2 linked regions of the Macaca fascicularis genome follow. The protein of the gene in region 2 purifies or fractionates together with the protein of the main gene of each other region. This does not show direct contact. Links are inferred from orthologs where the notes say so. Each region holds a gene or a part of one and is shown on either strand. Other genes may lie near its edges.

Evidence for each region.
Region 1: the proteins of IRF7 (region 2) and TRIM21 purify together in Homo sapiens (affinity purification with mass spectrometry; 3 studies listed by BioGRID, with this or other methods). This does not show direct contact. The link is inferred for Macaca fascicularis from reciprocal best matches to the Homo sapiens genes IRF7 and TRIM21.

The regions. Positions count from the first base shown.
Region 1 is NC_088388.1:70,002,583-70,007,035, reverse strand, and holds the start of TRIM21 (E3 ubiquitin-protein ligase TRIM21), read right to left. Parts: upstream 3,100-4,453; 5' UTR 3,053-3,099; intron 1-3,052. UniProt on the Homo sapiens protein: E3 ubiquitin-protein ligase whose activity is dependent on E2 enzymes, UBE2D1, UBE2D2, UBE2E1 and UBE2E2.
Region 2 is NC_088388.1:515,039-519,425, forward strand, and holds the start of IRF7 (interferon regulatory factor 7), read right to left. Parts: upstream 2,867-4,387; 5' UTR 2,743-2,866; coding exon 2,725-2,742; intron 2,530-2,724; coding exon 2,201-2,529; intron 2,116-2,200; coding exon 1,953-2,115; intron 1,870-1,952; coding exon 1,656-1,869; intron 1,109-1,655; coding exon 1,050-1,108; intron 974-1,049; coding exon 748-973; intron 599-747; coding exon 512-598; intron 427-511; coding exon 346-426; intron 274-345; coding exon 1-273.

The sequences.
Region 1 (4,453 bases), about 69 Mb from region 2:
GAATAGCCAAAGCTATCCTGAGCAAAAAGAACAAAACTGGAGGAATCACATCATCTGATGTCAAATTATACTGTAGAGCTAAAGTAACCCAAACAGCATGGTACTGGCATAAAAACAGACACATAGACCAGTAGAATAAAGAACCCAGAACAAATCCGTACATCCACAGTGAGCTCATTTTCAACAAAGGTACCAAGAACATACAATGAGGAAAGGACAGTCTCTTCAAAAAATGCTGCTGGGAAAACTGGATATCCACGTGCAGAAGAATGAAACTACACCCCTATATCTCACCATATACAGAAATCAAATCAAAATGGATTAAAGACTTAAATCTAAGGGCTCAAACTATTAAACTATTACAAGAAAACATTGGGAAAACTCTCCAGGACATTGGACTGGGCAAAGATTTCTTTCAAATACCCCACAAGCACAGGCAGCCAAAGCAAACTTGGACAAATGGGATCACATCATGTTGAAAAGGCGCTGCACAGCAAAGGAAACAATCCACAAAGTGAAGAGACAACCCACAGAATTGGAGTAAAAATTTGCAAACTATCCATCTGACAAAAGGTGAATAACCAGAATATATAAGGAACTCAAACCACTCTATAGGAAAAAAAATAATAATCTGATTCAAAAATGGACAAAAGATCTGAATAGACATTTCTCAAAAGAAGACACACAAATGACAAACAGGCATATGAACAGTTGTTCAACATCATTATCGGAAAAATGCAAATCAAAACTACAATGAGATATAATCTCATCTCAGTTAAAATGCCTTTTATCCAAAAGACAGGCTATAACAAATGCTGGGGAGGGTGTGGAGAAAAGGGTACACTCACGCGCTATTGGTAGGAAGGTAAATTAGTACAATCACTACAGGGAACAGTTTGGAGGTTCTTCAAAAAACTGAAAATAGGGCTACCATATGATCCAGCAATCCCACTGCTAGTATATACCCCAAAGAAAGGAAATCAGTATATCAAAGAGATATCTACATTCCCACGTTTACGGCAGCATGTTTCACAATAGCCAAGATTTGGAAGCAATCTAAGTGTCCATCAACAGATAAATGGATAAAGAAAATGTGGTACATATGCACAATGGAGTACTATTCAGTCATAAAATATAATGAGATCCTGTCATTCACAACAACATGAATGGAACTGGAGGTCATTATGTTAAGTGAAATAAGCTAGGCACCAAAAGACAAACATTGTATGTTCTCACTCATTTGTAGAAGCTAAAAATTAAAACAATTGAACTCATGGAGTTAGATAAAATAGAAAGATGGTTACCAGAGGCTGGGAAGAGTAGCAGGGAGGGTGTGTGTGTGTTGGGGAAGGTGGGATGGTTAATGAGTACAAAAGTGGAGTGAATTAGATCTAGTATTTGATAGCACGATAGAGTGACTATAGTCAATAATTTAATTGTACACTGAAAACTAAGAGTATAATTGCATAGTTTGTATCACAGATGATCAATGCTTGAGGTGATGGATGCCCTATTTACCCGGATGTGATTATGACACATAGTATACCTGTATCAAAATATTCCATATACCCCATAAATATACCTACTATGTGCCCACAAAAGTTAAAAATAAACTAAAAAAAGAAGAAAAACAAAATGACACAAAGGAAAATAAAAAAGAAAAATAAAAATAATGAGTCAGGCACGGCGGCTCATACCTGCAACCCCAGCACTTTGGGAGGCTGAGGTGGGTGGATCACCTTAGGTCAGGAGTTCAGTTCAAGACCAGCCTGACCAATATGGTAAAACTCCGTCTCTACGAAAGATACAAAAATTAGCTGGGAGTGGTGGTGGGCGCTTGTAATCCCAGCTACTCAGGAGGCTGAGGCAGCAGAATTGCTTAAACCTGGGAGGCAGAGGTTACAGTGAGCCGAGATTCTGCCATTGCACTCCAGCCTGGGCAACAGAGTGAGACTTCCTCTCAATAAATAAATAAATAAATAAATAAAAGGCATAAAATTAATGGCAAAACAATTAATGTCAAAAACAGTAATTACTTTTACACCGATCAAATAGTTTGTTGAGTAAGTTTATTCTTGTTCTGAATAACAAGAACTCCTCCATTGTTGGTCCATTGATCCAGTGAGACAGAAGGAGACACTAAGTCCCTAAAAGAGGGAGTGAAAATTGGCAAGAACCTCATAAAGCTGTTGACAGTTCTACTCTCATCATGTCCATTCCTGCTTAAACCCTCAGTGCTCATTCATCTCCTGTCTGGTACCAACAGGCCTCCATGCTGCTGAGAAATTATAGCTACTTTTTACCATGTACCTTCCATGTGCCAGACATACTTCATGCTTTGAATATATCTTCATTAATACTTCCTATAACGGCAGATGTCAGGTGTATATAGGTATGTAGGTGTATACGTATATACACAAGCATGTGTATATGTATGTATACACACAGAGCAACAGGAACTGTGGCCAGCACTCCCTGGGCTCTTTTCTCAGCTGCTCCAAACTTAGTTTAGTTCCTGACAACACTTATTCTAGGGCAAAGAATAATTTTGAATACATTTCTGGTTGAACATCCTAAACAGCCTTCCCCTCTCACCTCTGGAGGACTTTTGGACCTGGGAATCTCCAGAATTGCAGACCTCCCCGACATGAGCTCCCTACCCGTCCTGGCTAGGCTGTAGTCCTGGCTCTCCCAGCCGCACCCAGCCTTCATCCCAGGTCACGTGCCAGCATCGGGGCAGCCGGGCCCCTTCCCCTTCTGGGTAACTCGGCAGTCACGTCCACAACCCAGCCTCCTCCCAGGAAGGGGGCAGCCGGGTCCCTTCCCCTTCTGGGTAACTCGGCAGTCATGTCCACACCCCAGCCTCCTCCCAGGTAGGGGGCCAGCGCCGGAAGCACAGCTGGTCTTGGGTTGAGGGATCCCTGGTGCGAGAAGGGGCAAATGGGACCGGCTCAAGGATGGAGACTGATTGAAGGGGCTGGGCAACCCTGGGGCAGGGGAGAGAGGTCCCCTAGGAGGGCAGGGGTCCCTTGATCTAGTGGGGTTCACTCACCTTTACAGGGGACTCAACGCTGGTAGCCAGCTCCCTATTTCACTTTCAGTTTCCGCTCAGAGGCAAGTCTGAGAGGAAAGGGGAGGGAGGAGGAGGAGAGTGGGAGGAGTGAGGGAGGAGCAGTGGGAGGAGCAGAGCCTTGAAAGCCTTGTGTGGAGAAATGCTGATGAGAAGCAAGAGAGGTGGGAGGAGAGAAGGTAGAGAGGTGAGAGGAGAGAAGTCAGAGTTGGACTGGGGGAGGCTTCAGAGGCTCTGGACGCCCAGGGGGCTTCTCTGAGACTGGTAAGGAGTGGAAACTCAGTAGCCCGTGGTCCTGGGTGCGCGCTCCCTCCCATGTCTTCATTATCCGGTTTGGTAAAATATCTACATGACGGGGGAGTCCGGGCTACTTTCTTTGACACTGGTCATCACCCCACACCTAGATGCTATGTGCATGTCTGGAAGCTGCTTTTAAGGAAGTTTCTGATGCAGAGGAGTGGCCGGTGCTCTTCCTCGCGTGCCACCATCTGCTTACTTCCAGAAGCTAATTATTTTCATGTGACTGATGTGACTAATATTTTTTTAACACTTGCAGGTGAGTGATTTATTTCACATGACCCCAAGGTAAGTGTCCCACCAGTGAGTGGTGAGAAGGGAATTGACATTTGACAATCAACTGTGTTCTTGTCACTGAGCTAGGGACATTCTCAGGTTATATTATTTTTATTTTTAATCGTAAAACATACAGAATATAAAATTTACCAAAGTAATTTTTTAATTTTCAATTTTGTGTGTCTATAGTAGGTGTATATATTTATGGGGTACATGAGATATTTTGATGCAGGTAGAGCATACAATCCGTAATAATCACATCAGGGTAAGTGGGGTATCTGTCCATCACCTCAAGCATTTATCATTTGTGTTATATACAATCCAATTACATGCTTTTAGTTATTTTAAAATGATAAATTATTGACTCTATTCATCTTGTTATGCTATAAAACACTAGATCTTATTCATTCTATGTCATGTATTTTTGAACCCATTAATCATCCCCTGCACCCTTGCCCCACTACCCTTCCCAGACTTTGGTAACCATCATCCTCTCTATCTTAATGAATTCAATTGTTTTAATTTTTAGCTTCCACAAACAAGTGAGAACATAACTGTTTGTTTGTTTGCCTGTGCTTGGTTTATTTTACCTAACATAATAATCCCCAATTCCATCCATCTTGTAGCAAATGAAAATTTCTTCTTTTTATGGCTGAAGAGTACTCCATTGTGTATGTGTACCATACTTTCCTTATCCATTTATCTGTTGATGGACACTTATATTGCTTCCAAATCTTGGCTACTGTGAATAGTGCTGCAGTAAACATGGGAGTGCAGATATCTCTTTGATATACTGATTTCCTTTCTCTT
Region 2 (4,387 bases):
ACTTGCCCATGCGCCGGGCCCACAGCTGTGGCCCCCGAAGCTCCAGCTGCAGCCCAGGGGCCACGTGCCTCAGCAGTTCCTCCGTGTAGCGCAGCTGCTTCTGGTCGGGGAGCTCAGCAGGGCTGGGGAATGCTACCTGCTGGGGGTCTGTGGCCCGGACAGCTGGGTCTGGGGGGCCGTACAGGAACATGCAGCTCGGGTGCCCCACCACCTTCTGCAGCACTGTGCGGCCCTTGTACATGATGGTCACGTCCAGCGCCCCTGGGCTGGGCTCTGTGTGGAGACCAAGCTGTGAGCGGCAGAGGTGGGCAGGGACAGGCTGTCCCCTTCCCAGGACCCACTCACCTTGCACCACAGTGCAGGCACTTGGGGAGGGTGCCAGGTATGGCTCTGCCTGGTGCGGGGGCTCTGGGGCCGTGGCCTCGCCTGCATCGGGAAGGGAATCCTGTGCTGGTACCTCATCCCCAGCCCCTCCCTGTGCCCCAGGCCCCCCAACCCCTACCCCTCTCACCTGTCATTAGCGCCGCGGGCTGGGGCCCGGGGCTAGGGGTTGCTTCTACTGCCCATGTGCACAGCTCCCCAGCAGGGAGCCCTGGACCTGAGGAGGGGAGGTCAGTGGGAATGTGGTCCCTTCCTACTTCTCCAGCTCCCCAATCCCCAGCCCCCTTCTTAAGTGTCCGTCCAGGTGCACTGGCCCCTCCCATGCTTTCCCCCCACACACACACCCCTCCACGGCACTGCCCACACCTCCAGCACAGGCCCCAGTCAGGGGAAGACCCTCTTGTCCCTCTCCAGGAGCCTGGGCTGGGACTGGGTCTGCCCCCCATGACGCTGTCAGCAGATGGTCCGCCAGGCAGCTCTGTTGCACTGCCTGGAGCAGGAGGTCCCCCTTGTCACCAGCTGGGGCAGGGAAGGGGCCTGGGGCTTGGAGTCCAGCATCTCTGTGTGCCAGGAATGGCCCTGGGGGCCTGCCCTGTAAGGAAAAGTCAGGGTCAGCATAAGCAGCTCCGCGGCCTGGCAGGAGGAGAGGCAGGCAGAGAGAAGACTACCTGCGGTGGCCGGACAGCCGCGGGGGCCTCTGCCTCAGTCTGGTCCGTGCCTGGGCCTTCTGAGGGAGAATGGGGCAGGTGTTAGGTTCCGAGACCAGGGTGAGAGACGCAACAAGAGCCTGGCGTAACCCGCACCAGCTTCCTTGTGCTGCGGCCTAAGGAGGTGGGTATGCGGCTCCAACTGTCCTGGGCCTGCTGGCAGCCTCTCCCAGAACGGCTGCTAAAAACCCAATTCTGATCCAGAGAATGTTCTTTTTTTTTTTTTTTTTTTTTTGAGACGGAGTCTCGCTCTGTTGCCCAGGCTGGAGTGCAGTGGCCGGATCTCAGCTCACTGCAAGCTCCGCCTCCCGGGTTCACGCCATTCTCCTGCCTCAGCCTCCCGAGTAGCTGGGACTACAGGCGCCCGCCCCTGCGCCCGGCTAATTTTTTCTATTTTTAGTAGAGACGGGGTTTCACCATGGTCTCGATCTCCTGACCTTGTGATCCGCCCACCTCGGCCTCCCAAAGTGCTGGGATTACAGGCGTGAGCCACCACGCCCGGCCCAGAGAATGTTCTTTCCCCAGGCAGGACGAATGCCAACGCGCTTGGCAGCCGGCGTCGCTCACCTCGCCAGCCCAGCTCCGGGCTCAGCGCGTACACCTTGTGCGGGTCGGCCGGGTCCCCCGAGTTATCTCGCAGCATCACGAAGCGGCGCGTGCTGCGCAGTGCGCAGCGGAAGTTGGTTTTCCAGCCGGCGCGCTCCGCAGCCTCGGCCTCGGGGGGCGGCGGGTCACCTCCTCTGCTGCTAGGCGGCCACCTGCCGCGGGCCACGGCCCAGGCCTGAAGAGGGGGAGAGAACACGTGGGCTGGGCCCGCGGGGTCCTAGGCGGGTCCTCCCACCCGGGACGGGGCCGGGGTCCCACCTTGAAGATGCGCGCGTCAGCCTCGCTCAGGTCCTTGCGCGCGAAGTGCTTCCAGGGCACGCGGAAGCAGGTGCGGGCCTCGTCCAGCCACTGCAGCCCCTCATAGCAGCCGCTGCTGATCTCTCCAAGGAGCCACTCTCCGAACAGCACGCGTGGGGCCGCCCTGCGGGTGCCCGGCCGCGGAGAGTCAGGGCTGGCTGCAGGGCGCTCGGGGACGGGCATCTGGAGAAGGTGGGCCGGGCTCTTACCTCTCAGGAGCCAAGGCCATTGCTCCCTCTGCAGGGGCAGTTGGGTGGCGGTCAGGTGTTACAACAGGGGAGGTAAGGGCTCCTGTCACTGCAGACGCCAGGCCGCGGCCACAGGTCGTGTGGCCAGGTGTCCACAGGTGTGGCCAGGTGTCACAGGTGGTGGGGGTCACAGGTGTGGACTGAGGGCTTGTAGCCACCGACGCTGCCTCGGTGTGGATCTCTTGGCAGAGGGGGCTACAGGTGTGACTGCAGGTATGGCTGGCGCGCACACGTGAAGTCACAGGTGTTGAACCAGTGTCCAGGCCTGCCGGGCCGGTGCAGGCCGGACCCTGCGGAGACGGGAAAAGCCACGTCGGGGGCGGGCCAGGCTTCCGAGAAAGCGAAACTTAAAACAGTGGCGCTTCCACCCTCCCCGATCCCATCTCCGTCCGGTTCTCATCGCCGCAGAGCCCCGCCCCCGCCTCCGCCCCGGGCCCCACCCCCGCCCCCGCCTCCGCCCCCGCCTCCGCCTCCGCCTCCCTCACTTCCCGACCCTCATCCATCAGGCTCCCCCAGCCCTTGGCTCTACCCCTCCCGGTGAGTCTCTCACTCCCGGACCTGCACCGCGTGGGTCCGGGGTCCCGAGTACCTGGGTGCCACAGTCGCCGGGGCGGGAGGTTTCTTACCGCGGAGAAGCGGAGGGCCGGCGCTTTTATGGTGTCCGGGCCGGGGGCGGGGCCCAAAGAGCTGCAGGTGCAACCAAGGAGGTCACGTGACCAGGCGGGCGTTTCCGGGAAGGGCGCGCGCGGCCAGTTCCTGCTCTCGAATGCGACCAGCGGAACCCCGTCCGGGGCAGCGCGGAGTAGGGAGTGGCGGCGAGGGGGCAGCGGTGGGCCCTGTCTGCCTGTGTGGCTCGGCCCTGCAGGGTCCAGCCGCTTCTCTGGGAAGTAGCCCCTACACGCCTGGGGCCGGGGCGCCGGCAGTCATCGGAGGTGGGGGACACAGTGGGATAAGGCGGGGACTCCCCCAAACGTAAGCGAAACCGGACCCGAGGCAAAACCAGGCCCTTCTTGTTGTGCTTTTTTTTTTTCTTTCTTTTTTTTTTTTTTTTTTGAGGTGGAGTCTCGCTCTGTCGTCCAGGCTGGAGTGCAGTGGCCGGATGTCGACTCACTGCAAGCTCCGCCTCCCGGGTTCCCGCCATTCTCCTGCCTCAGCCTCCCGAGTAGCTGGGACCACAGGCGCCCGCCACCTCGCCCGACTAATTTTTTGTATTTTTAGTAGAGACGGGGTTTCACCGTGTTAGCCAGGATGGTCTCGATCTCCTAACCTCGTGATCCGCCCGCCTCAGCCGATCACTTGAGGTCAGGAGTTCGAGACCAGCCTGGCAAACGTGACGAAACCCAGTCTCTACTAAAAATACAAAAATCAGCCGGGCGTGGTGGCGCAGGCCTGTAGTTACAGGTGCTTGGGAGGCTGAGGCGGGAGAATCACTTGAGCCCAGGAGGTCGAGGCTGCAGTGAGCTGAGATGGAGCCACTCCACTCCAGCCCAGGGGACAGAGCATGACTGAGTCTCAAAAAAGGGAAGTGGGTAAGGGGAGGTGGATGTGCCTCTAAAAAGGGGCAGCTGCACCGTTTGGGTTCCTTTTTTTGAGATGGAGTTTCGCTTTTGTTGCCCAGGCTGGAGTGCAGTGGCACAATCTTGGCCCACCACAACCTCCACCTCATGGGTTCAAGTGATTCTCCCGTCTCAGGCTCCCGAGTAGCTGGGATTACAGGCATGAGCCACCATGCCCGGCTAATTTTGTATTTTTAGTAGAGACGGGGTTTCTCTAAGTTGGTCAAGCTAGTCGAACTCCTGACCTCAGCTGATCCACCCGCCTTGGCCTCCCAAAGTACTGGGATTACAGGCGGGAGCCACCATGCGGCCCCCTTTGGGTTCTTTAGATTGTTCAGACAAGAATATCAGACGCTCTCGCAATTAAAGCATTTGGAAAGGAATTAATAGTGTCTTTTCATCAGGGACAGTGCTGACGACCCACAAGGGACCCCTTGATGGTTCTGGGCATGGGTGGCCAGCCTGGGCTCTGGCCTTGGGAGAAGCGACCGGGAGGTGTCTCTCACCCCTAGGCCTCCTGGTCCGGCTCCTGCTCAGGCCACTCGCGCGCACCGACCCCCGCGTGCCTCAGTCCAGGCCTCTGGGTGGGTGT